7 linked regions of the Cricetulus griseus genome follow. The protein of the gene in region 1 interacts with the protein of each later gene in a pairwise test. Links are inferred from orthologs where the notes say so. Each region holds a gene or a part of one and is shown in the gene's direction. Other genes may lie near its edges. The genes, in order: Atxn1, Ttc19, Pepd, Slc6a13, Zbtb32, Tollip and terminal nucleotidyltransferase 5B.

Region 1 (3,500 bases):
TCGTATTGAGGATGCTGGCGGCAAGCATCCTGTCTTCCCAGGCTCACATGGCAACGCCTTTCTTACTACATTTCCCAGAATCCTCCTTGACTCCCACCTATCCTGCTTCCTCATTGGCCAACAGTGCTTTATTCATCAACCAATAAGACAAACACATACACAGAAGGCCTTCCCCCATCAACTAACCTTTTTGTGAAAGGAATTTACAAAATGCATCATCATCTAGGAAAAAAAAAAAAAAAAAAAAAAGCAGATTGCCACACACCTGTGATCCCAGTACTTACTTGGGAGAGGCTGAGTCAGGAGGATCATGAATTCAAGGCCAGCCTCCATTACACAGCCAATTTGAGGCCAGCCAGAACAACAAGAGCGCCTTATAAAAGAGAAAAATGGATTATCTACCTCCTCTCCAAGGAGAGAAAAAAATGGTGGAAGAGGAAAGAAAGTGTGGAGAAATGTTTGAACTGCCTACTCTGTTTTATTAAGAAAGTATGTCTGGGCTAGACAGATGGCTGATGATCAAGAGTTTACTGTTCTTATAGGGGACCCAGGTTCAGGTCCTAGCACCCACATGGTGGATTACAACTGCCCATAACTCTAGTGCCAGGGAATGCAATGCCCTCTTCTGGCCTCTGTGGGTACTGGGACATACATACATAAACTCACGCAGGCGCTTATGCACACACAACACACACACACACACACACACACACACACACACACACACACACACACACACAAATCATAAGCAAATGAGCAAATGTTTAAGAATAGTACACGCTTAAACTTACTTATTTATTGATTCTTATTAGCTCAAATTAGCCTAGCTCGTATTTTATCTATTTTAACAGTTGAGCTATAATCTGCTTTTGGAATGCCCACAGAATCCAGGGTCTCCTCTTACTCTTGGTGGTAATAAGGTTTTTGGTTGGTGAGTGGGTGGACTGTTGGTTTGACCTGATGGAGTTTTTCCCCCAGAGCTGATGTTTTGGTTTTCTTCTTCTCCCCTTCCTCCCCACCCGCAACCCCCCCCCCCCGCCCTTCTCTCTTTCCTGTCCCACTCCTGGTCTCTTTCCCTTCTCAGAATCCGGAGCTGCTACTGCCGGCCTAGCAAACCCACGGGGAGATGATTCCTCATGAAGGGCCTGGATCCCCTACAGAAATCCAATGTGACTCTCTGTCTATCAGACTAAAATCAGAGCCAGCCAGACAGTGAAACAGCCACCGTGGAGGGGGGACGGCGAAAAATGAAATCCAACCAAGAGAGGAGCAATGAATGCCTGCCTCCTAAAAAACGTGAGATCCCCGCCACCAGCCGGCCCTCTGAGGAGAAGGCCACTGCTCTGCCCAGCGACAACCACTGCGTGGAGGGTGTGGCATGGCTCCCCAGCACCCCTGGCAGCCGCAGCCATGGGGGTGGGCGGCACGGGCCAGCAGGGACTTCCGGGGAGCTTGGTTTACAAGGAATGGGTTTACATAAAGCACTGTCCGCAGGGCTGGACTACTCCCCACCCAGTGCCCCCAGGTCAGTCCCCACAGCTACCACGCTGCCCGCAGTGTACCCTCCTCCTCCGTCAGGGACTCCAGTGTCCCCAGTGCAGTATGCCCACCTGTCACACACCTTCCAGTTCATTGGGTCCTCCCAATACAGTGGGCCCTACGCTGGCTTTATCCCTTCCCAGCTAATCTCCCCATCAGGCAACCCGGTCACCAGTGCGGTGGCCTCGGCTGCAGGGGCCACCACTCCATCACAGCGCTCCCAGCTGGAGGCCTATTCCACCCTGCTGGCCAACATGGGCAGTCTGAGCCAGGCACCGGGACATAAGATTGAGCCCCCACCGCAGCAGCACCTCAGCAGGGCTGCGGGGCTAGTCACCCCGGGGTCCCCGCCACCCACCCAGCAGAATCAGTACATTCATATTTCCAGCTCTCCACAGAGCTCTGGGCGGGCAGCATCTCCCCCACCCATTCCGGTCCACCTCCATCCCCATCAGACGATGATCCCGCACACACTCACCCTGGGGCCCTCGTCCCAGGTGGTCGTGCAATACAGCGATGCCGGAGGCCACTTTGTTCCTCGAGAGTCCACCAAAAAAGCAGAAAGCAGCAGGTTGCAGCAGGCTATGCAAGCCAAGGAGGTCCTGAATGGGGAGATGGAGAAGAGTCGGAGGTATGGGGCACCGTCCTCTGTGGAGCTGAGCCTGGGAAAGGCAAGCGGCAAGTCAGTGCCTCATCCTTATGAGTCCCGGCATGTGGTGGTCCACCCAAGCCCAGCAGACTACAGCAGTCGTGATACCTCTGGGGTCCGTGGATCTGTGATGGTCCTGCCCAACAACAACACACCCTCAGCTGACCTGGAGGCGCAGCAGGCCACACATCGCGAGGCCTCGCCATCCACCCTCAATGACAAGAGCAGCCTGCACTTAGGGAAGCCCGGCCACCGCTCCTATGCACTGTCCCCACACACGGTCATTCAGACGACACACAGTGCATCAGAGCCTCTCCCAGTGGGCCTGCCAGCCACAGCCTTCTATGCTGGGACTCAGCCTCCTGTCATCGGCTACCTGAGTGGCCAGCAGCAAGCAATCACCTACGCCGGCAGTCTGCCCCAGCACCTGGTGATCCCAGGTACCCAGCCTCTGCTCATCCCTGTGGGCAGCCCTGACATGGACACACCTGGGGCAGCCTCGGCCATAGTCACATCTTCACCCCAGTTTGCTGCAGTGCCTCACACGTTTGTCACCACCGCCCTGCCCAAGAGCGAGAACTTCAACCCCGAGGCCCTGGTCACCCAGGCCGCCTACCCAGCCATGGTGCAGGCCCAGATCCACCTGCCCGTGGTGCAGTCAGTGGCATCCCCTGCCGCCGCGCCACCCACGCTGCCACCATATTTCATGAAAGGCTCCATCATCCAACTGGCCAACGGGGAGCTGAAAAAGGTGGAGGACCTGAAGACGGAGGACTTCATCCAGAGTGCAGAGATTAGTAATGACCTCAAGATTGACTCCAGCACAGTGGAGAGGATCGAAGACAGCCACAGCCCCGGTGTGGCCGTGATACAATTCGCCGTTGGTGAACATCGAGCCCAGGTAACCCTCACCAGGGTCATTCAGGTAGGGAGCCCCTACCCCCATTCTGTCATCTCCTGGCAAAGTGATTGCTTCTGGCAGGTAGGGTTCTCATTGGTACCCGGTGCTATGAGGGGCAGGGATGCTTGCAGTGATCCAGGGGCAAGGAAACTGAGAAGAATTGCCTTCCACATGATCTTCATTAAGAAAGCTAGGGCATCGTGGCTATAGGCAGCCATGCTGCAGCCCTCTGGGGAGAGAGAGAACCTTCAGTGCTGAAGAAGAGCTTCCTCACGGGAAAGCCACCACAGATACTGTGATGGATCCCAGAGGCGTGTCATGGGGTGGGATTCTTGTCATTGGGTTTTAGGGTGACCTGGACTGTGTGTCAGAAGTCACAAAGTAGGAAAATGCAGATTCCCAGGATTGTCC
Region 2 (3,500 bases), on another chromosome or scaffold:
GGGTGACTATTAGGGGACATTGGTTCAGGTGATTAATCTCTTGAACTTAGTTTCCACTCATCACAGGTTACTTGTAAGGTACTAAGGAGATGTGAGATCCTGATCTTTTGGTCCCTTTATAAGAGTCTCAATGCATTCTGAGAATTAGCTTGGTATTTAGAATCAAGGGTCATATATAGATGGTTTGTTAAGAATTTTTATGCTTTTAGGCAGAACAACTTTTTAAAGCAACAATGAGTTACCTGCTTGGAGGAGGCATGAAGCAGGTAAGGACACTGTCTAATATTGTCTCCTTATCGAAGCAATTAACAAAATGAAAACTCCCTGATTTAGTTAGGATTTCTGTTGCTGTGATAAAACACTATGACCAAAAGTAACTTGGGGAAGAAAGGCTTTATTTTATCTTAAACTTTCTGGTAACTGTCCATCACTAAGGGATGTCAGGGCAGGAACTCTAGGCAGATACCTAGACACAGGAACTGAAGCAGAGGACATAGAGAACTGCTTCTTACTGGCTTGCTTCATGTGGCTCACCCAGCTTGCTTTCTCAGTCACCCAAACCCACCTGCTTAGGGGTGATACCACCACAGTGGGCTGGACCCTCCCACATCAATCATGAGTCAAGAAAATGCCCCCACAGACACGCCTAGAGTCTGATGGAGGCATTTTTCTCAATTGAGTTCCTCTTTCCAGATAACTGTAGCTTGTGTTTACTTGACCGAAAAACCAACCAGGATATGCCCTGTAGCCTCAGGCCTAGAACATAGGTACTTTGACAAAAAAAAGATGGTTATTTTACCCCTAGACCTGTTAAAAAAAATAGCCAGTATTTTACTGATTCCAAGTAACAATTGCCAAAGAATTCATAGTTGGTTAATTCTTTTCAAGGAAGAAAGACTGGCTTTGAGGCCAAATTTAGTAGAAAAGTTGGAAATACTCCATAAGAAATTTTTATTTCTCTCTCTCTTCTTTTTCTTTTTTGGTTCCAACAGGAGGACAATGCAATAATCGAGATCTCTCTGAAGCTGGCCAGTATCTATGCTGCTCAGAATAAGTAAGTATGATCAGAATATGGATGTGGCAATGGCTAGCTAGTAGAGTGATGAGCAGAACACTCAGACCTTGGGGTTTTATATAGGTTAATTTACCTGTCAATCATCTGGGTCTCCAAAAAATTGAATGTCACACTCAAAGTGTTGCATTTCTCATCTTTGTAATCTTGAGTTCCCTCCTTTTGTTTCCATCTACCTGATGTGGTCTACACAGCCCTCATCCCTGTAACTGCATGGTGATAGCTAATCAAGTATTCAGTTCTTGCTTGAAATGAGGAGGAAATAGAGTTAGGCCTGTACCTAACTCTTCCTAGAAGCAAAGGGAACAGTGTTAAAAGTACCACAGCATAACAGACTTAAAGAAGTCCTCTACTGCTACCAGCAAAAGAATAAGTTAAGTATGAAGTTAAATGGTGAGAATTACTTACTGGTTTTCTCTGGCTCAGCTTACTATTCATTCTGGAAAATAAGTGCTGTTGTAGTTAGGGTTTCTTTTGTTGTGTTAAAACATTATGACCAAAAGCAACTTGGGATGGGAAGGGTTTGTTTGGTGTTTTTATACAGAGGGAAGCCAAGGCAGGATCTCAAAATGGACAGAAACCTGGAGACAGGAGCTGATCAGAGTCCATAGAGAGGTGCTGCTTACTGCTTTGCTTAGCCTGATTTCGTGTAGCACCCAAGACCTCCAGTCCAGGGTGGCACATCCAGGCCAGTCACTGAGAAAATGCCCTACGTGTTTGTGTGCAGCCCACCCAATCGAGGCATTTTCTCAGTTGAGTTCCCTTCTCAAAGATGACTCTAGCTTGTGTCTAGCTGTCATAAGTCTATCTATATCTAGCACAGGTGGCTATAAGTGGAATTAGATGTTTTGTTTAAATGTCTTCAGAGCAGGTGGAAATAATCAGTAGGATTTTGGAGGGGGATATAGCCAGTAGCAGAGGGAAGTCTGGATATGGAAGTTAGGAATTAGGTTTAAAAATGGTAGATAAGTTTGATTTTTTTTTTTTAAATTTATTTTAGAGACAAGGCATCTCTATGTTGCCCTGGCTATCCTGGAGCTTGATGTGTAGACCAGGCTGACCTCTAACTCACACTTGTATCTGCCTCCTGAGTGCTGAGATTAAAGTTGTGTATTACCACAAATGACCCTAAATTCTTATAAAGAAGAAAAAGCCCTTTGACTACATGGAAGGCTTTAAGAAACAGTTTAGATGTTGCCAAAAGCTGGAAACCTGTGAGGCCTTAAGAACCATTGTCTTGGGTTTCTTTTGCTCGGTAGAATATGGTCTATTGAAGGAAGCCAAGGTAGAGAGTTGAAGCAGGAACTAAGTATAAGCCTCAGAGTAATGATGCCTACTGGCTTGCTTTTCCTGGCTTGCTCAGTTTGCTTTCTTATATGCCCCAGGACTATCTGCCTGGGGTAACACCACAATGGGCTGGCCCTTCCATGTCAATCATCAATCAAGAAACTGCACCCCACCCCCCAGGTTTGCTTACAGGATAATCTAATGGGGAATTTCCTCAGCCAAGAGTCCCTCTTTAACTCTAAATTGTATCATGTTGATAAAAAACTAGATAGCATGATTAACCCCTTGTCACCTTGACACAGACACACATCACTGTTCACATATACCCTTACCTTTCAATCTTGTCCCCAAGATGTCATGTTAATATTAGTATCACAAAATAAAACATAATCTTTTTTGAGACACGGTCAGCCCTAGCTATTCTTGTTCTCATTGTGTAGACAAGCTGGCTTCCAACTCAGAGATCCACCTGTCTCTGCTTTCTGAGTGTTGGAATTAAAGGTGTATGTCACCACTCCTGGCCTAAAACATAATATACTTTAAAAGTTGCATAGTCTTAAAAATTTTTTTCAAATGCTTTAAATTCAGCCTCTTTAAAATATCCAACTGTGGGTTTCTGTTAAAACCAAAGTAAGTTACATGCTTTCTATTCTAAGAGGGAAGAACCAGGGCATGGTTATGATGAAATCAAAGCAAAACCCAATTCTTCTCAGAAGTATAAATAGCTGTTATGTCTGAGACTCACGATCTTCTGGTCTCCAAAGGGCTAGGCAGCTCCAACTCTTTCTCTCCTGCATACAAAGCTTATAGGCGTAGGTCAGCCCCACCTCACAGCTGTTTAGTCCTTGGCAGTTGTCCTGTGATATTAGTCTCCAGTATGCTAGGGCCCTCCACTGCAACTGAGGCTGCACTTTTACCATCGTGCAGGACTCCACCCTTGCCATACAGGGCCAAAGCCTCAGCTGTTACCCACCTCAGTGATGCTGGTAGTAAAATCACCACTAATTTTTCAGCTTTGGCTAAGCAGCATTGACTGCTCCAGCAAAGCAAAGGCTTCACTTTATGTGAATGGTGTTGGTCTTTTGTTACTCACATCTTATTCTTCAGGTCCAGCTGATGAGAAACCACAGATTCTTAATAC
Region 3 (3,187 bases), on another chromosome or scaffold:
ATGCAAGACTAGCCAGCCTTCTGGGCCAGATGCAGCACCTGTATCTGTCAGGGAGTCAGGACAGCCTGCTCAGGTCATACGAGTAACAGCTAGGATCCCGGTACCCAGCCTCCACCCCTGAAATGCCACCCATTAAATTTCGAAAGCTCTCACGCACAGGGTGCAGACTGGGTCAGAGTTGTATGTCTAGGAGGACCCCAGATTCGAGGCAGCAATAACCAGACGCTCCCCAGGTTTGCCCAGCAGCAGATTCTAGACCCTAGGAAGGCTGGCTCCGCCTCAGAGCCAAACCTCCCACCTCTCCACATACACGGCTTGGGCCATGGGTCCCACAGCACCCTATGAGCTAGCCTTGCTGGAAAGGGACTCCTCACCGGCTTTCTATCAGCCACGGAGGCTCCGCAGTCTGGGCCTCCAGGCCTGGCCCTTTCTGGTTCATTATCCTCTAGACCTCCCTGATGCTGTAACCCTTTATGGTGACCCCCAGCCATAACATTATTTTGGTTGCTACTTTATGACTTATTTTGCCACTATTATGAATCATATTGTAAATATCTGATGAGACCCCCCCCCAAGGGTCGACCCCTAGAGGGATTGTGGCCCACAGGGTGAGAACCACTGCTGGAGGCCCTTGAATTATGTAGGTTTCTCACCCTCCCTTCTCGCAGCGTTGCTCATCAAGGGGTGAGGTGATGTGACCACAGGCCAGGCTCTAAGCCAGAGTAGGACATGGCTGAGACGCCTTTGGTGTTGACTGGGAGGACAACGCCGTCATCTACCCTCTAACCGGTGCACTGCTGTGACCTAGGCTCAGCCTTTATGGGATCAGGGCTGAAGACTACCCTGGGCCTAGGTCCTTGTCTGGTGGTCTCCCTGGAGACCACCATAGCAGGCAGGGCAGTCCCTGAAGCTGTCTGAGGCCCTCCAGGGGCCTATTAGTCCAAGCAGTGCTGACTGTCCTTAAACCCCAGAGCCATGAAGCCCATCTGGCCCCTGAAGCTATGAGCATGGGAGGTATCTTAGGGTTTCTGTGGTTGTGATGAAGCACCCCCAAAGCAACCTCGGGAGACTCAGCAGTTTATTTGGCTTATATAACAGTTCGTTAGAGAAGCCTGGGCAGGAACTCAAACAGGGCAGGAACCTTTAGGCAGGAGCTGATGGCCATGGAGAGGGAGAATTGCTGCTTACTGGCTTGCTCTTCATGGCTTATTCAGCCTGCTTTCTTATAGAACCCAGGACCCCCGGCCCAGAGATGGCCCCACCCACAATGGGCTGGGCCTCCCTCATCAATCACTAAGAAAATGTCCTACAAGCTTGCCTGCAACATGACCTTATGGAGGCATTTTCTCCAATAACTAGCCTGTGTCAAGTTGGCATAAAACTAGCCGGCATAGAAAGCTCCCCGCAGTGACCTTTGCTCCAGAAACTTGGGGCAGAGATGAGTTTGATTAGCAGCCTGGGCTTAGACATCTAGGCAACTATGGAGATGGTTCCAGACCCCTGCCCACCAGAGGGTGAGGCCCCACCAGCTGTCCCTTCCCCCGGAAACCTTTGTTCCCACAGCAGCTTCCAGACTGAGTTAGCCATCCTGGGGTGTGCAGGGATGCCTGGGCCTGAGCCACCCACTTCAGCTCTTGAGCAGAACAACCAAGCCCGTGGCTTTGGGTGACAGAAGCTTGGCCCTGCACTATGATGGTGCAGAGTCTGGGTCCTCACCCCGCGGTCTGTAGAGCCCCGGCTTACCATGGCCTCTCCTTCAACCCTAGGTGTCTGGTGGCCTGACATGCACCGGCTGGCCGACCGTATCCACCTGGAGGAACTGACCCGCATTGGCCTCCTGAGTGGCAGTGTAGACGCCATGCTCCAGGTCCACCTGGGGGCAGTCTTCATGCCACATGGGCTCGGTCACTTCCTGGGCCTCGATGTGCACGACGTGGGCGGCTACCCTGAGGTTAGTTAGTGCACATGCTGGTCTCCCTGTGCCTGGAGCTTACTGGGGTAGAGTGGGGGTTCATGGGGGCGGGGGGGGGGTACTGGAGATACAGTCAAACAGGAGGATGGGTCTCCCTGTGACACACAGGAAGTGAGTCCCGGACACACAGGGTGGGTCAGTGAGTGGACTTCCCCAGTAGCTGCAAAGGCTTCAGGCTTGGAGGTGGAGGCCTCTGTTTATGAGGCCTCAGGACACACGCTGTGTGCACAGCATCTGTGCAAAGGTTCCCCAGAAGATAACGGAGCTGAAGCCAGGTTTCAGAGTCACACCAAAGCCTGCACGTCCTTCATTCACACTGCCTTCAGCCCTTTGCTCAGCAGCAGAGCCCTTGCCAGCTCCCTCGCTGCCTCACCCTCTGCCTCCCGGGCCACTGGCAGGAGAGGAAGGCTTGAGGGGCACCTTCAGACAGGGCTCCCTCGCCCTCTCGTGCTGCCAGCTCTCCAGGGACCACCCAGTGGGTTCCAGAGGGCTCCTGGGAAGCCCTTACTGGGCAGGTGGCTACAGCCCCTCGGGGCCCATTCCTGCTGCCCAGCCTGGCCTGGGGCCCACCGTGCAGGGGGCGGATTGTGCAACTGGTGCACACCCTGGGGCCCCCCAGCCAGTTAGCCAAGCCTGGACCCAGCCTCTTGGCTGTGGGGTATTTTGAAAGCACAGAGAATGATTTGGGGGGAGGGGAGGATTGCTCAAGAGAAGCATTATTATTCAATTATTTTTTTCTCAAGTGTAAACAGTTAAATTTGGAGAAACAAAATCAGTTTTAATTTCCTAATTTCTGTCCATCCTATTGTGTGCAGGGAGCCAAGAGCAGGCCCTTCCAGACATTGTTAGTTGAGGTTCGTTATTCATTAGTCGCCAAAGTCCTTTTTTCCACCAAAGAAAATTGGCAGCAAACTGTTTTCATCTTTTCCAGTAAGCAGCCCTTTGTGCTCAGTCTATTCTTCTGACAGATAAACACTGTGGAAAAAATATGGCTTTTCCTATAAAAGTCATTTGTTTTATTTCAGGCCTACAGACACATCTGGGTCTCTCCTCAGAGTCCAGTACAAGTTGAGGCCCCACTGAGCCTTCTGCCCAGGCAGAGTAGTGGGCATGGACACCCCTAGCATAGCTGGCATCCCCATCCTTGGCCCGTGGGTCACTTGGACCGGCTCACCAGCCTCCTCTAAGCTATGTCTGTTGGAGGGCAGCCTGTAA
Region 4 (3,500 bases), on another chromosome or scaffold:
ATCAAATTCAGGTCCTCGTGCTGGCAAGGCTAACATTTTACCAACTGGGTCATATCTTCAGCCCTGCTCTTGCATTTTTACTTCAGAAATATGTCAGATTAATTCTAGGGGAATGAACTAAAGTCATGGTAGAGTTAGTTTTATTTATTTTGAGATAGGGCCTCACTAGTAGACCAGGCTGTCTTTGAACTTGTGGTAATCCAACTGCCTCTGTCTCTTGAGTGCTGAGCATACAGGTATGTGCCACTATGCCTGGCTCCAGCGTTATGTATTTAAACGGTAGCTCAGAGTCTGATAAATATCAAAATTCAGGCTTAACAGCAGAAGACAAGACAAAAGACCAACCTGGGAGACCACTGGAACCACTCCTTGGCCTGGGCTAGGTCTAGCACTTTTTGCTATGGGCCCTGATAGTGGCATGCAAGTCCCTTCCCTCACAGGAGTGGGTGGTATGTGAGACTCTTTGCACTGTCCTGGCCCAAAGCTTCAGTCCCCTCCCCAGGCATCGGCTATGCCTCACAGATAATCGTCAGTCTCCTCAATGTCTACTACATCGTTGTCCTGGCCTGGGCTCTCTTCTACCTCTTCAGCAGCTTCACCACCGACCTCCCCTGGGGAAGTTGCAGCCATGAATGGAATACAGGTAAGATCATTGCGAATAGCCCTCTCCCTTCTCCTGCTTGGCCACCTTCACCAGGAGTGAGGTTGTCATTGTATCCCAGACATCCAATCTCTAGTTCACATTTTGGACTCATAATCTGACAAATAGATTATGATGAACTTCTACGAAGAAGAGTGAGAGGCTGGGACGGAGCTCAGTGACAGACACAGGTCTGGTGTGTGAGTAAGGCCCCAGCTTCCTCCTCCAACACTCCCCTCCAAAGTGAGACTTCGCCAGCCCCACAGCAAAATGTCACGGACTTAAAAAAAAAAAAAAAAAAAAAAACAACTTGATGTATTCTATTTGTGTGCTGTGCAAATAGAACTGGCTTCTTTTACTGTGTTCAGTCACTTATTTGTTTCTATCTGAAATGTGGCCTGTTTGATACGTCAGCGTATTTATTTGTGTTTCATATCTGATATGATTTTAAGTTTTTCCAAACTTGTAATTTATCTGTGCTCAACTCATCCAAGAGTTGTTTTGTCCATTATCAATAAAATTCGCAATGACAACAGTGAAGCTATCCAGGTGGCACTTCTAAACAGCCCTGCCTGTGAGGATGGACATGCTCTCTGTGCAGTCCCCGTGGCTACTGGGCACGTGACATGTGTCCAGGGTGTCTGAGGAGCAGAACTGTGGAATTTTCACTCTAAGTGCCGGAAGGGCTAGTGGCTCGATAGCACAGACAAAGAACTCACTGGCCAGTGTTCTGCTTGGCTTCTCATTGCTCCACGTCATGATCAATGTCCAGGTATCTTTTAGTGCTTGTCCATGAGACAGTGTGAAGGAGTAATGGCAACGATGAATGCATTCTTGTACAGAGAAGCCGTTGGTTCTGAATGGGAGTTTGAATCCTTGACTTGCCAGGTTCAGATTGGCTTTCGTTACACCTTCAGAATCTGGCTTCTGCCTGTTCCTCTTAGCTCACCATGACCACCAGTGGCCTAGTGCTTCCTCCACACAGCCCTTTCAGGCAAGTCCTTGCCCGTCTCTGGTACCACCCGAGTTCCACCATCTTTGTCAAATGAAAAGCCAAATCTTAGAGGTGTGCTTCCCAACACCCAATGATTGCAATAGGCTCCTCCCAAATGACCTTTGGCCGCACACTGACCTTCGGCCCTTCCTGGGCATGCTTCTTCTTGCTGCTTCCTGATGTCATTGTCCTATTAGCTGGAAAGGCTATGAGGCAGGGAATGTGTTTTATCCTAGCATAAGCTGGGTACCTACCTTATAAGCTATCAAGAAATGCTGAAGGCCTGGGACTATGGATCTGACCTAAACCCTGTGACTGGCCATGCATGAAAGCAAAGAGCCCCACTCACCGGGAGCTGTCACTGAGTGGCAAGAGACACCCTGTCTTAGTTCGGGTCACTATTGCTGTGATGAAACACCATGACCAAAAGCAACTTGGGGAGGGAAGGGTTTGTTTGAGCCGCACTTCTGCATCACTGCTCATCACTGAAGGAAGTTAGGACAGGAACAGATACAGGGAGGAAACCTGGAGGCAGGAGCCGACGCAGAAGTCATTAAATAGTACTGCCCACTGACTTGCCCCTCATGACTTTCTCAGCCCGCTTTATTATAGAACCCAGGACCACTAGTCCAGGGATGGAACCACCCACAGTAGGCTGGGCCCTCCCCCATTAGTCACTAATTAAGAAAATGCTCCTTAGCAACGGTTCTCAACCTGTAGGTCATGACTCCATTGGGAGGGGAGGTCACATTTCGGATATCCTGTATATCAGATATTTATATTACAATTCGTAACAATGGTAAAATTATAGTTATGAAGTAACAATGGAATAATTTTATGGTTGGGGGTCACCACAACATGAGAAACTGGATTAGAGGGTTGCAGCATTTGGAAGAATAAGAACCTCTGCTCTATGGGCTAGCCTATAATCCAATTTTTTTTTTTTGAGACAGGGTTTCTCTGTGGCTTTGGAGGCTGTCCTGGAACTAGCTCTTGTAGACCAGCCTAGCTTTGAACTCACAGAAATCCCCCTGCCTCTGCCTCCCGAGTGCTGGGATTGAAGGAGTGCACTACCATCGCCCGGCCTACAACCCAATCTTATGGAGGCATTTTCTCATTTGAGGCTCCTTCCTCTCTAAGGACTCTAGATTGTGTCAGATTGACACAAAACCAGCCAGCACACACACTGGGAGCAAAGCAGAAAGGAATAGAGAGAAGTGGTACATTGTGTCAGGCTTGGCAGCAAACACCCTTGCTCACTGGGCTATTTATGGCCCCCCAAATATCTCTCTTTATATTCCCCAAGATTATATTGATGATAAAACATTAAAAAGAGTGTCAGCATTATATAAAACTCCAAAGTGATGTTCAGGTCATAAAGAGCCACCATTCATTGCCTCACATTTATGTTTTCATTTACTGCTCCACCAGTCCCTTCTATTAATATCTTTGTTCTAGAGATCAGGGAAGTGATGCTTGTGGTGTCAAACTGCCACTCACCCAAGGCCACACAGCCAATACCCTGAGAGTCAGCATTCAAGCCAATGCTCTCTGACCTTGTCCCTTTCAAGCCAGTGCTCTCTGACCTTGTCCCTACATCTGTGTTCTTGGGCACTTTGCTATGTGACTTGCTTAGAAGGTGTTCTTACCATTCCTCCAAAGCTGTGGCTCCACCTGGGACCATTCCCCAGGGAGAGCTTATATTTCAAATCACCTGTCACACAAAGCCTCTTCCCAAGTGCTGTTGGTGCACAAAGACAAACAGTGGAAAGTCCACAGTGGGGGTGTGTGAGAGGTGAGGTCGTCTCGTGGAAGGCTGCTGTGTGGGAGAATGTGTGGCTTGCAGGATTCGAGCCCAGAGCCTTC
Region 5 (4,145 bases), on another chromosome or scaffold:
AATCTCGTGTGTTCCCAAGTGTGTGATGTCAGGAATTAGAAAGCCCAGAAATGGAAAATATGTAACTTTCAGGGGAGCAGATGAACACAAGTTGCCATTTGCATTTTCCCTTTCGCTCTGACTCATCTTCCCCTATCTCCACCCTACTGCCCCTTCGCCAGCCTCACCCACCGACACACCCTGTCTGACCTAGGAGGGGCTGACACCTGCCTGCATCCAAGCTAGAATGGGAGGGAAGGCATCCTAGGCCCGGAGGGAGAGAGTAGAAGTCTGGTCTGAATACCCTGGAGCCCTGGAGCCAAAGGGAGAAAAGCAAATGTTACCCCATTGGGGCTAGGAGGGGCCGGAATCCAGGGAGAAACCTATGGGGACCGAGACTGAATCTTGTCACCACAGCGTCTACCAACGTCTGCCTAGTTTCTCTTTTAGCTGTTTATTGTACCTATATGAATACCAGACACATGCCACAAATATCCCAAGATATCTTCTCAGGGAATGGAAAGATCAGCTTAGGAATCGGATTAATAGAATGGAAAAAAAGGAAAAAAAAAAGAAACTGAGTCTCAAAGGGTTTGTCCCTTCCTCAAATTACAGAGTGTCAGAAATGGGTGTGGTGGCACTGGCTGAGGCAGGATAGACATTTCAAGGACATCGTGAGCCACACAGGAAGAGGAGAAGAGACGGTGGTGCTAAAAGCGTGATAAGAGGCGGAAATCTCCAGGGATCTTGACCCCTTGGGCAGAAAGTGAAAGAAGCCCCTGGTTTTGATTTCAGAGAAATGTCATTTGTCATCAGCCCAGGAAAAGGAGATTTTTCTCTTCGAAGACCACCACAGGCTTCCTGGGGTTGCCCCCCTCAGAGTCTGCTTGGAGGATCTGAGTCACACACACACACACACACACAACCCCAGCCCTTGCTGTGGTCCAGAGGACAAGGGTCAACCTCACAGAATAAGAGGGGCTCAATGTACCCAGCCAGGGAGAGAGGAAGGAGGCATGGCCCCCAGTTCCCCCGTGCTTCACATTCTGCTTCAGGCAGAAATGGTCTGCAGCTACTCCACACGTCTGTCACCTCTAAGACAGACCGAATAGCAGCTGAATGCTAGGCTGTACTGGCGGCTACTTCCCTATGCATGGCCCTTGGTCTTCACCCCTCCTCCAAAGGACACCAGTGGTATTTGACGCATGAGGAGACTGAGGCTCAGACAGATGACTTGCCCAAGGTGACTCAACTAGTAAATGGCACAAATGAGGCTCAGCCTCTGACTGTTCCAAAGTACCTGTGGCCACAGTTGATGTCTTTGGCTCTAAGGAATTGACAAATCACAGAGTTAGGTGAGGAGGCAGCCTGGGTTGTTAAAAGTAGATGGGTAGCCTCTGGCAGGTCTCAAGCAGAGACAGAAGGTATAAAGCCACACCCCTTTGGGGGGGACTGTGGCAGACTGATACTTGGGATGACTGAGGACAGGGGTGGAGCTAGCTGGGGTGGGGGGCAGGAGCCCCAAGAGCAGTATCGAGCATGCGAGCATGCGAGCATGCTGCGGTGCTAGGAGGCAGCTACAGAGGTGAGTGTTGTCTCCCGGAGCTGAGCCCCCTCCATTCCAACCATTTCTGTGCAGTCCCTGCCAGCTGGCACCCTTCACCCCAAGGTGTCCAGGTAGTAACCCTCCCTCCCTCCCTCCCACAGGGCCCCGGCTCACGGAGGGCCTGCATGCACCGGGGGTAGGCCTGCTAGGTGCTAAGACACTTGGGCTATTTCTTGATCTGTCTGTCTCCAGTATCCTGGAGGCCTGTGATGGTTTTCTTGTGTGTGATTCAACCCTCGACTTATTGGGCACTTTCTAAACCATTCGTTAGCCTCATTTTGTTCTCCAGTTTCCCTTTCCTTTTTCTCCTTCCACAGGCACCAGAGCCTTCTCTAAACCTCTGGTGTGGCTCTCTCAACTCGCTGGATGGCAATCTCTAGTCTTCCTCATTCCTTCTCTGTGTGCTAGAAGCTCCAGCCTCGGAGTGATGCCTAGCACCTGCTCTCCCTGCCTGGCTGCCTGCGTAACCTGTCCAGCTGTCTGGGCTCACATTGTGGGAAGACCCACAAGCTTTTTGAGGTCTTTCATGAAGTGGCATCTTACTCATTCATAAATGCCAAGTTTTGTGAGGAAAAGCCCAAGCTGCTCAGTGGGTCTTCCCTGCAAAAGAGCCCGGGGAAGCAGCAACCTTTAAACCCGAGTTTGCTAACTGTACGGGTCCTAGACCCCACTGCTTGCTACCTCTGCTAACTGCCTGGCTCTTGCTCCTTAGGCCCCAAACCTGACCCAATGTGGATGGATTCTCTTCCCGCTGCTTCCCCAGCTTGCCTTTGACTTGGTTTATATGACTCATTCAGGACAGACAGCTCCAGTCTGAGACTGGAGAGTCACTCCTCTTTCTCCCCTCCCCTCCACAGGCCTGAGAATATGCGGTTTCTCCCTCCCCTTTCTGCCATGGACCCCCCATTGTGGCTTTTCTGTCAGAGCCTCTGAAACTGGTAGATTAGTCGAGAGCAATGCCCCAGACCCCCACAAGGCTGATCAGCCCCTATGGCTCTGATCGGTTGGTGCAGTTAGCGGCTAGGCTTCGGCCAGCACTGTGTGATACCCTGATCACTGTAGGCGGCCTGGAGTTCCCTGCCCACAGCCTGGTGCTGGCAGGTGCAAGCCCGAGGCTGGGATGCAGGGGCAGGTGGGCTCTGGTTGAAGGCATCAGCCCTTCTACCTTTGCTCAGCTGCTAACCTTTGTGTATGGAGAGAGCGTGGAGCTACAGCCTGGGGAGCTGGGGAACCTTGAAGAGGCGGCCAGAGCCTTGGGGGTGCAGGCCCTGGAAGAGGCATGCAAGCGAGCTCAAAGGGACAAGAACGAAGATGAGCTGCATGGAGGACTGAAGAGGCACCAGGTGTCAGAAGAACTCACGAGGAGTTCTGAGAGAAGACCGGGGGGTCCTGGAGAGAAACAGAGCCCAGAGAAGGATTTTAGGAGTAACAGGAAAGAACAGGAGACGTTACACAAGCGCAGAGCACCCGGAGAGAGCCCTGAGAGGGCAGGGCTAACTAGGAAGATGAGAGCAGAGGAGGCCCTCAGCTCAGCCCCTGGGGGCCACAGGGGAGCAGAAAGGAAGCAAGGAGAGGCCATACAAGGTATAGAGAGCCCTGAGGGCTCTGAGGAGTGTCTTCGTGGGTGCCCTGGTCCCCTTTCCCTACCAGGTTCCCCCCTAACCAGCCTCATTCCCAGGCCCTGGTGGGCTGAGGCCCCTTGGTTGGGAGAGGGCCAACCTGGCCTGTGGAGCATCTTCCTGTGGCCGCCCAGATATGGCATTCCCTCCTCCCTTAGCACCCCCGTCACTGCAGCCTGGCAGGTCTGGCCTCAAGACCAGAGGTGAGTGAAGGGCTTAGTGGAAGGTATCTAGGCTGGGGGGGCTTTAGCTCAGGAGAGGCAGCAGTCATGGGTGGGAGGGAACCACGTCTCCATACGTTTGCTAAGTTAAGGAGACAACAAAATATTCTGATCTTGAGAGAGGCCAGAGCTGGTTAGGTTCTCAGGCTTCGCCAAGGCTGTAATTCTTCTCCACCCAGGATCCCACTGACCTTGAGCCACTCCAAAGGTCTCTGGAGTCAGAATCAGCTGGCCTCCTCTAGCTCCACTCCAGGTAAGCCCCTCATTGTTCCATCCAGGGCTTCTGCACAGCAGCTGGGCTCCAGGAGTCAGGCCTTAGCAGGGCCCCTACTTTACCCTACTTGCAGGATCCTTTCCCCAGGGCCCTGAACAACTCAGCCCTTGGGAGACAAAAGAGTCTGGGTAAGGGTACACAGTAAGCAGGGCGAGAGAACTGCTACCTCAGGGTCACCAAAGCTCTCAATTTCTTGCCTGGATGTATTGACTCAATTCAGGGATTCTGGTCATGCCATCTTGACTTCTCTGTCCACACAGGCACACTGGCAACCTGTGTGGGTCAAGAATGCACACTGAGCTGTCCATCTCACCAACACTCTGCTTTACCCCTTCCTGCTCGCTCCCGGCCCTATTCTTGCTCTGTCTGTGGAAAGAGGTTTTCACTCAAGCACCAGATGGAGACGCATTACCGAGTCCACACAGGTATGGGCATACTGCCCAGTG
Region 6 (4,089 bases), about 210 Mb from region 1:
GGGAATTTTATGTGATAAAGTTTTTCCTCAGTAACAATTCTCCCTGGTTTTGTTGCTTGTTTTGTTTGTTTGTTTACCTCTTTAATATTGAGGGATTTGGGAATCCATTAAAGGGCATATGTGTGAACATCTCAAACCCAATCATTTTTAGCAGGTCTTAGTCACAAGAAGTTCCTAGTCTGCTGTCCAGATACAATCTTACACAACTTGCAGGATGCCCGGTGCATTTTTAGACACAATTCAGAGGTTTTGTCTATAACCAAGGGGAAAGGATTGTATAGGGATGTGAACCCCAGGAAGGGATCATGGGTCTCTTATAAATTGTCTGCCATATTGGGTGTCGAGTCTTATGTCCTGGTCTGCCTTAGCTTCATCAGCTGCAGACCAGTGAGAACTGGATAGACAGCTGCATCCAGGGACAGAGCCCAGATGCAGTCCCATGTGCTATCAAGGCAGAGACTGGTAATGGAGGTAGAAGATGAGGTCTTAGAGATGAAGGGAACACAATAGAACACAGTGTGAGTGAAGAAATGTACTAGGAGTACATTTGGTGCTGGGCAGTACCAAGTCTACTGCAGCACAAGCGAAAGAGATCTGCAGATCTGGGGCCACCACAGGATAAACTTAAAGGAACTACATTGAGTCTATCTGGCCAAAGGTCCTTCTGAAGAGAGCGCTCTGAAGAGGCAAGAGTGGGTGGCCTGGGTTTCCTAGGGACATCTCTTCCATTCATTTGGCAAATTCAAGGCTGGTGGAAGTGTTCCAGCCCACTCTTGCCTCTCCTTCAGCTTGGCTTCTTTTTTTAACATTTAAATATAAATGTTCTTCCTCCCACAGCATTTTGAAGTAATTCAAGGGCTTGAGGGTAACTGGTTTTACTGCCATCTGCTTTCTCCTCAAGCTGCCAAACATCAGTTTTCTCCTTTCTTCAAGCGGATCAGGCACCTTGCAGGTGGTGGTCTCCTAGCTATCTCCAGCCAGGTGACTGGACGTTGTGACGACTTGACGGAGTTGAGATAAACATCCATGTTTCGGGTGCCTGGTCCTGGGTCAACAGACTGGCTCACGCCGAGAAACACTCAGGTTTAGGCATGCGCAGACAGCCTGGCAGCCATTTTAAGGGCTTACCGTACTACAGGAGTGACCACCGCGCAGGCGTACACGGGAGACTTAACCCGCCCTCACCCCAGCCCTTTGCACGCATGCGCGGATTAGCCGGAAGGGGCGGGATTAGCCATTGCGAAGCGGCTGCGCCTTGGGAATGCCGGGGTGGGGCGGGGCGGGGTGACTGTCAGCTGACTGAGGCGCAGATTGCCTCGCGGGACAACGGTCGGCGACGCAGGTTGAGGTGGGGGCGGAAGAACTCTCCCGGCGGGTCTCTGTGCGGTCGGTGAGGCACAGGGTCGCCGTAACATCATGGCGACCACCGTCAGCACGCAGCGCGGGCCGGTGAGTCCACTGGGCGAGGGCCGGACTGGGGCAACGCAGCCTGAGATCGGGCTCCTCTTGTCAGCCCCTCGTGGGGCCCCTCGCGAGTTGCTCGGCCGTCCCGGAGCTGTGCGGGTCCCACCTTCGGGTACCCAAACGGAGTAGCGACTCTGGTCCTGAGGGTCTCGCGGGTGGAAGAAGGCAGAGCTTGATGGTTCTTTGGATGCCCACGGGCCCTGAAACCCCTGAATCCCTAGAGGGGCCCTGAATCCCTTAGTCCTCCACACAGAGGAACGTGACCCCATTGGTTCCCCATACTGAGAGGGACCCCGACTCCCCTTAGTTCCCCGGGTGGAAAAAGGGTCCCGAACCCCTTACTTCCCCAGATGTATACCAACCCCTTGGTCTCTCAGATGGACATGGGCCCTGACGCTTGGTTCCCCAAATGGAGAGTGGTCCTGACCCTGTTAATTTCCCAAACTGATAGTCTTGGCTCCCATGATCTCTCAGAGGAGTGGGGCCTGACACTCCTCTGATGTTTCAGAGATGGTGAAAGATCCCACTTTGTAATCAGCTCTTAGTTGTGTCAGTTTCTTCCTCTCCCTGCTCCTATAGAGAACAGGGTTGCTACCTCTTGAGCCCGGTTAGTGGCTACCTTTCCAAGTCTCAGTTGTTCATCTATAAATGAGGAGAAGGGAGCAGAAAACGTGGAAAACCAACAGTGATGGCTCCTAAGGGTTGTCTTGGGGTCCACAACACTACCTGTCTCTCCTACCTCTAGTGTGGATGTCCTCCCAGTAGTTCTCTGAGACTGATATGAGTTGGATGTTGTTAGCTAACAGTGGTTATGTGTGTAGAACACAGTTCTGATGGCTCCATTGTCTTTTCCCTGAAGTTATTGAAAGTGTCTGCAAAGCCTTTGGTTTCCCAGGTCCCTCACCCTGACAGCTTGGTGTTGACAGGTGTGTGTGTGTGTGTGTGTGTGTGTGTGTGTGTGTGTGTGTGTGTGTAACAGATAAATCATTGGGGTAGATGACTGATTTTCTGACTTTGAAGAAAGCCCCAGGCAGGGTGCTTTTTTGGAGGGCTTTAAAGCCAGACTTCCTGACCAGAGTTGGGGTTACCTTCATGTTCAGCAACCCTTCTTCATCCTCACTGTGTCTCACCAAACTACAGAAGATTGCTAGTGGCTGACAGAAGAGGAAGGGAGCCAGTACTTTGCTCTTTTCCTATCTCCTGCCAAGTGGACACAGGGCCAGGCAGAGTGGACCGTTCCTTACTGTGTGTCTGAGAGTGCCTTTACTTCTGTGGCTGGACTGCATTTGAATTCATCTGATGGTGAGCTTAATGTCCGTCATTAATTGAGTAAGAAGGTGTCCTCCCGTGTTGCTGAGGGAAACTCTGGTGCTGTGTGTATAGAGCTGGGGTAACCCACGCTGTGATGAGTAATTGGGAGTGTCGGGTGACATTCATACTAGCGCAATCTGTGGAGTCAAGTCCTGACGCTTGATCTTTCTACTTGCCCAGTGTTCTAGGGACCACAGAGTCTTATAAATAAACATAGACAGCTGAATGGTTTTTTAGGAGCACTCTTGATGACTTGTAATATTGTGTCTGGACTCTAAGAAATTGTCATCAGTGACAGATATCTTAGACTTTGCTTGGGATGTATTATTGGCCACAGTATTTAGAGCAATTGGACACTGAGTCAAAAGTGTGGAGCACAGGGACACAGCTATGCATGGTGACCCATATAAAGCCAGAAAATAACAGTCACCATCAGGTCTGTGCTCTTAATCATTGAAAACAGAAAGGTATGGACTTGGTGTGGGAGGAGTGAATGGGTTATGGCCAGGGTCTCTTAAAGACTAGAAGATCTTGAACTTGATCTGGTAAGTGCTGTTTCTTAGAGTGCATGCCTTTTACAGTTTTCAGCTTTTCACTGGCTGCTTCACCTAGAATGATCTACCTATATGCCTCTGGATTCATTAATATTTGCAAAGGTTTTTTTAGCCAGTTGTCAGGGTCTAGTAGAACTGTCAAGAGTGTGGTAGTTCTTCCCTACTATTCATGTCATACTCAGGGTTGTGGAGCTGTAAAGATAAACAGAAGTACACATTTGGTCAGTACTGGGTACTATTGGCAGCCTTCTTTTTGTAACCGCAGCAGGGGGTTAGGCTATGGTTCAGAGTCCCCTTCCCAGGAGCCTGGACTAGGCTTGGGCAGTTGTCTCTATAGCTGACCTTCACCTCTGATGAGTGGGGAAGGACTGACAGTGTCTTGGGAGGCTATAGAAGGCTGAGGACACTCTCATCTGGGCTAGGAGGGTTCTCTATTCTTGGTTGAGGGTTTGGGATGGGGCAAGTATGAGGAGGAGAGCCAGAACCCACATAATTGTGAAGGAATAAGTTTTTCCCTGGGACATTTGGTATTTTACGTTTTTTTTTTGTGTTTTGTTTTTTTTGTTTTGTTTTGTTTTGTTTTGTTTAATAGCCACTATAGGGCACTACAATCTTTCATAGCCATCTCACTTTTGAAAATACTGGTATTTTGAAATTACCCCTTTTGCTACCCAGTCTGCACACCTGCTCCTTTCCTACAGTAGTGGTTTTTTTTTTTTTTTTTTTTTTGCGGGGGGTGGGGTGGGGGGGTGGGGGGGTC
Region 7 (4,179 bases), on another chromosome or scaffold:
CACACACAGAGTGAATAAATGTAAAGAATAGTAATGGTGCGTGGCGTTGATTCCAGCACATGGAATGCAGAGGCAGGTAGGTGTCTGAGTTCAAGGCCAGCCTGATCTGCATAGTGAGTTATAGATCAGCTAATGAGGCCCTGTCTCCAAAGTATAAAATAAAATAACAAAGAATAAAAATGTTAAAATAGCAACCAACGTCTCTGGGGAGAATACATGGGCATTGCTAAGGCTCACCGGGTGAGCACATGGTGCCTTCTCTCGGGGTTTCCAGGAGAGGGAAACAAGGGTAGCATGGTGCTGGGGCTGGCTTCCAGAAAGAAACGTGTGTGTTCTGCTCTGAGACAGGCTAAGCTGTGTTCTCAGATCCTGGGGTGTATAGCTGCTCCTAAGTTTTGATTCCTCTTCCACGGTCATGTTACTCCTTAGCCTGCCTTATAGATCAGGAGGATGTGGAATTTGTTATGTTATTGGGAGAATGACAAGAAAAAACACTGCAGTTATGAATCAGGGTTACGATTTTTCCTCCTCCCCACGTCACATGTATTTAAAATCTGAAAAAAAATGTAAAACTGGGCAAATTCAAAAGTAGCAATAAGTCTCAGCATCTATGATCTGTAAAGAGAGAGAAGAAAAACAGAAATATCCATTCCAGAAAGGCCCTGGATCTGCCCAGATGGAGCGGAGAGGGGATGTTGCATAGATTTTTACACCTCCATCAGGACCATAACGGGCACTCACACGCTACATGATGGTTGGTAATAATGTCCTCTCTCTGAGCAGATTGCACCTCACCTAAAATGGAACGTGTACGTCAGGCACGCTGTGGTTCGAGGGGCCAATCAAGGGAATAAATTAGAAAGCAGCCGCCTCATTAAACAAGGCGACCTAACTTCACAGAGACCTCCCTCCCTCCTGCCGCTGGAGGGCGCTGTCCCTCTAGATCCCGGCAGGCTCGGGCCAATCACAGGCCGCAGAAGTTCTTTAAAGACCAAAGGAGGGAATTCAGCCGGAGAGAGGGGGCGGGGAAGGGGCGTGCCTTTCAGCCAATCAGAATCCCTAGGAGCCGGTACTCCCGTGAAAAACTGGGTGGGCCAATAGTAGGGGCGGGACGAGAGGCGGGGCGGCTCCCGCTGTGTGACAGCTGTGCCGACCAATGGCGGTGCGGCCCGCGGCCTATAAGACTCAGCTGGGCCCCATCCACCTGGCTCTGAGGTCTGTTAGTCCTAGCCGCCGTCGGAGGTGTCCCCTGGGTTTGCCTCGCCGCCGCCGGGCTCCGCACCCCGCCCCCAGCCTCGGCCGGTGCGCAGACACTCTCACTACTCTCCTCGACTTAAGCATTCCCGGGTTTCTGCCGTCGGGGCGCCGGGGCCGGGCGGATGATGCCGTCGGAGAGTGGAGCTGAGAGCCTGGAGCGGCCAGCTGCGCAAGAGGGGACGGACGAGTCCTTGGCATTGGCCACGGCTGGGGCGGCCGGCGGCGGCCCGGACCCGGAGGCCTCCTCGGCCTCTCCGGGACGACACCAGAGCCGGCTGAGCTGGCCACAGGTGAAGCGGCTGGACGCGCTGCTGAGGGATCCGATCCCCATTCACGGACGAGGCAACTTCCCCACGCTGAGCGTGCAGCCCCGACAGATCGTGCAGGTGAAGGGGCGCTGGCGGGGGCGCGGGCGGGGCGGGGGCGGGCGAGGGGGACGGTGCTCTGCCGCCAGACACCTGGAGTCTGCGATTGGCCCGGCCACTATGAAACTAACTAACTAAGGAATGGGAACCGGGGCTGCCAGCTCTGCTCTCCCCGCACCCTATTGAGCTTTCCTGCCCACAGTCTTGGGGAGTCCTTATCCCCTGGGGACCACTCACCAAGACCCAGGCTGGGAGATGAGGAAGCACTAGATGGAGGCATCTCTCTATCTGCAAGCAAAGGCAGCCGCCAATGAGGAGTGCGTGTGCTTTGTTCCAAAATAGCTTTCTTCCTCTACTCCACATCCTTGGACCTCCTGCACCCTCAGGGTTCCAGGGGCACTGTCCTTAGGTTCCCACAGCCCTTGGCTCAAGAAACCTTGGCTAGGTGAGACAGTTCAGAAATCCTTGGGAAGATTCATGCCTCCCACGTGCTTTGGCCAGACCCGAGATCCCACCCCTGAAGATAGCATCAAATTTCCATTTTAGGTGTTCCTCCTCCTTTAAGACTGGAAATGACCCCAAAGCACTATCCACCTCCTGAGGATGTTTGGGGAAGGCTTTAGCAGCTGCTCCCTCCATCAAATTCCATCTTCCTTTTTCTTAACCCTGTATGACCTCAAACTTACTCTTTGGGGCTATAGCCCGAGCGCTTCGGTATTCTGAAATATCAAGGGGGTGCCTGTTCTCATCCCCCGCCCCCATTCCAGCTGAGGCCTCAGGTAGGAGGTGAGCTGCTGCCTAAGACTACTTTGTATGGTGGAGATAAAACTCGGGGGATTCCGGGGGTTCCCCGGGAACAGATGGTACAGGTTCCAGAGTTAGCCACCACTCCCCTGACTCCCAAGTTCAGCATCTAGATCTTAGGCGAGTCCAATAATAGAAACCAGAAAAGTCTAGTGATGCTTCCTGTGTGTTATTGCCACTCATGGACTTTACACACAAACCAGGTAAAGCTGGACATCCCCCTGCTACTCTGGCCTCCAACAGAGAGGGAGGGTGGCTGCTGGGGATTGGTCTTACCCTCCCTTCCTAGGAACAAGGAATGAGACAGAGGGGGCAGGGATGGATTCTCCTGGGCTGACTCACTGGTTGTCCCAGTGGAGCTGGCTAAAGCATTCCTTGCTTGCCCACTGTTGTCTGGATTATTAATAAGCCTGCTTTGACTTGTTTTGTTTTGAGGCAGGGTCTTCCTATGTTTTGCCTGGCCACCTTCTCAAACTTGTAGGCCCAAATGATCCACCTGCCCCAGTGTCTTGAGTAGCTGGGATTACAGGTGAATGCTTGTTTTTCTCTTGAGGAAATACCATAGTCCCAGGCATGCAGGGATGCAAAGGTGCTGCCCAGAGTGATCACACCTCAGCAGGAACAAGTATCTAAACTGACACTAAGGGCACAAATGTGACTGGGTACCAACCTCTGTCTCCTAGTCACGTGAGGGCGCCAATTTCATGGTATGGCCCCCTAAACTAGGGGTATCCCAGAACAGGGAACTGTTGGCTGTGGAGTAGGGAGGTGGCAGAGGCCTCAGGGCTAGACTGAAGTTGGGTGTCTGGGTTCATTGTTTATTCCCTCAGCTGGGCTTCATGCCCCCACCCCATCTGTGCAATGGAAGTGGATTTGACTACTCAGCAATATCCTGTCTGGTTCCAGACTCCCAAGGGAACATGGGCCTTCGCCTGCCTATGCAATCAGTCTGTCTCCTGGTGGGGATCCACAGCTAGCAGCTTTAAAAGCTGTGGGGATATTAAGGATCTGGGGAGGGAGGAACTTTCAGGGCTTCTCCCCAGTGCTTCCTGGTTCAAGAATGGAAGCCTTCTACCTTTGCACCCAACAGGGTCTTCCCTACTGCAGCAATCTGAGCAGCTAGAAAAATACATCCTTGCTTGTGCCTGGCTAAAGGGACCCCTTCTTACTGGATCCCCTTCTCTAGTTCTGGAGACCGGGTTCTAGTTCAACTCAGCCACTTACTGTGCTTGTGACCTTGAACAAGTCATTTGCTTTCTTACCCCAGAGAACTGAACTAAACGATCTGATCTCTCCAGCAGCAGCCAGAGGGCTTGCTCTTGCAAGCTTTGCAACTCTTCAGTCTTCCCAAGGTCTCAGCAGAAGCCCTGGACAGAGCAATTTGGGGAATTGGGTGCCTCAGGACAGGAGAAGGAAGCTACAGTCAGTGCCCCCTCCATGGTTGGAAAGTCTGATTTGGGAGGCTGCAAGCTGCCCTGCAGTCCTTGGGTGTGGCAGTATCTGGGGACCGCCTGTCAAACTGGCAATAGTCATACCTGGGAAAGAGACAACTGACACAACTGGCCCCATGGCCCTGACGCAGGGGATATAATGAGGGGATTGCTACGTCCTCACTCACCTGGCTAGATGCCATGCCCTGGAGTGGGCATCAGCTGGGGAGCAGGAGTTGGCACTAAGGCCCAGTCAGCTCACCTGAGACTCACGGAGGGGGATGGTCTCTCACTGGCTACCTGGGGACAGTTGCTGGGGTGTG

What was found.
Region 2: the proteins of Atxn1 (region 1) and Ttc19 interact in binary tests that used the Homo sapiens proteins (3 or more experiments, as listed by UniProt). The link is inferred for Cricetulus griseus from reciprocal best matches to the Homo sapiens genes ATXN1 and TTC19.
Region 3: the proteins of Atxn1 (region 1) and Pepd interact in binary tests that used the Homo sapiens proteins (3 or more experiments, as listed by UniProt). The link is inferred for Cricetulus griseus from reciprocal best matches to the Homo sapiens genes ATXN1 and PEPD.
Region 4: the proteins of Atxn1 (region 1) and Slc6a13 interact in binary tests that used the Homo sapiens proteins (3 or more experiments, as listed by UniProt). The link is inferred for Cricetulus griseus from reciprocal best matches to the Homo sapiens genes ATXN1 and SLC6A13.
Region 5: the proteins of Atxn1 (region 1) and Zbtb32 interact in a two-hybrid assay, tested with the Homo sapiens proteins (2 studies listed by BioGRID and IntAct). The link is inferred for Cricetulus griseus from reciprocal best matches to the Homo sapiens genes ATXN1 and ZBTB32.
Region 6: the proteins of Atxn1 (region 1) and Tollip interact in binary tests that used the Homo sapiens proteins (3 or more experiments, as listed by UniProt). The link is inferred for Cricetulus griseus from reciprocal best matches to the Homo sapiens genes ATXN1 and TOLLIP.
Region 7: the proteins of Atxn1 (region 1) and terminal nucleotidyltransferase 5B interact in binary tests that used the Homo sapiens proteins (3 or more experiments, as listed by UniProt). The link is inferred for Cricetulus griseus from reciprocal best matches to the Homo sapiens genes ATXN1 and TENT5B.

What each region holds. Positions count from the first base shown.
Region 1 is NC_048596.1:265,280,488-265,283,987, reverse strand, and holds part of Atxn1 (ataxin-1), read left to right. Parts: intron 1-1,084; 5' UTR 1,085-1,247; coding exon 1,248-3,089; intron 3,090-3,500. UniProt on the Homo sapiens protein: Chromatin-binding factor that repress Notch signaling in the absence of Notch intracellular domain by acting as a CBF1 corepressor. Binds to the HEY promoter and might assist, along with NCOR2, RBPJ-mediated repression. Binds RNA in vitro.
Region 2 is NC_048600.1:76,307,606-76,311,105, forward strand, and holds part of Ttc19 (tetratricopeptide repeat protein 19, mitochondrial), read left to right. Parts: intron 1-209; coding exon 210-266; intron 267-992; coding exon 993-1,054; intron 1,055-3,500. UniProt on the Homo sapiens protein: Required for the preservation of the structural and functional integrity of mitochondrial respiratory complex III by allowing the physiological turnover of the Rieske protein UQCRFS1.
Region 3 is NC_048602.1:3,456,029-3,459,215, reverse strand, and holds part of Pepd (xaa-Pro dipeptidase), read left to right. Parts: intron 1-1,766; coding exon 1,767-1,951; intron 1,952-3,187. UniProt on the Homo sapiens protein: Dipeptidase that catalyzes the hydrolysis of dipeptides with a prolyl (Xaa-Pro) or hydroxyprolyl residue in the C-terminal position.
Region 4 is NC_048601.1:23,582,513-23,586,012, reverse strand, and holds part of Slc6a13 (sodium- and chloride-dependent GABA transporter 2), read left to right. Parts: intron 1-502; coding exon 503-643; intron 644-3,500. UniProt on the Homo sapiens protein: Mediates sodium- and chloride-dependent transport of gamma-aminobutyric acid (GABA). Mediates transport of beta-alanine. Can also mediate transport of taurine and hypotaurine.
Region 5 is NC_048602.1:5,237,712-5,241,856, forward strand, and holds the start of Zbtb32 (zinc finger and BTB domain-containing protein 32), read left to right. Parts: upstream 1-1,345; 5' UTR 1,346-1,564; intron 1,565-2,442; 5' UTR 2,443-2,541; coding exon 2,542-3,407; intron 3,408-3,604; coding exon 3,605-3,678; intron 3,679-3,959; coding exon 3,960-4,124; intron 4,125-4,145. UniProt on the Homo sapiens protein: DNA-binding protein that binds to the to a 5'-TGTACAGTGT-3' core sequence. May function as a transcriptional transactivator and transcriptional repressor. Probably exerts its repressor effect by preventing GATA3 from binding to DNA.
Region 6 is NC_048596.1:59,283,494-59,287,582, forward strand, and holds the start of Tollip (toll-interacting protein), read left to right. Parts: upstream 1-1,289; 5' UTR 1,290-1,416; coding exon 1,417-1,449; intron 1,450-4,089. UniProt on the Homo sapiens protein: Component of the signaling pathway of IL-1 and Toll-like receptors. Inhibits cell activation by microbial products. Recruits IRAK1 to the IL-1 receptor complex. Inhibits IRAK1 phosphorylation and kinase activity.
Region 7 is NC_048595.1:19,784,018-19,788,196, reverse strand, and holds the start of terminal nucleotidyltransferase 5B, read left to right. Parts: upstream 1-1,379; coding exon 1,380-1,643; intron 1,644-4,179. UniProt on the Homo sapiens protein: Catalyzes the transfer of one adenosine molecule from an ATP to an mRNA poly(A) tail bearing a 3'-OH terminal group in an ATP hydrolysis-dependent manner.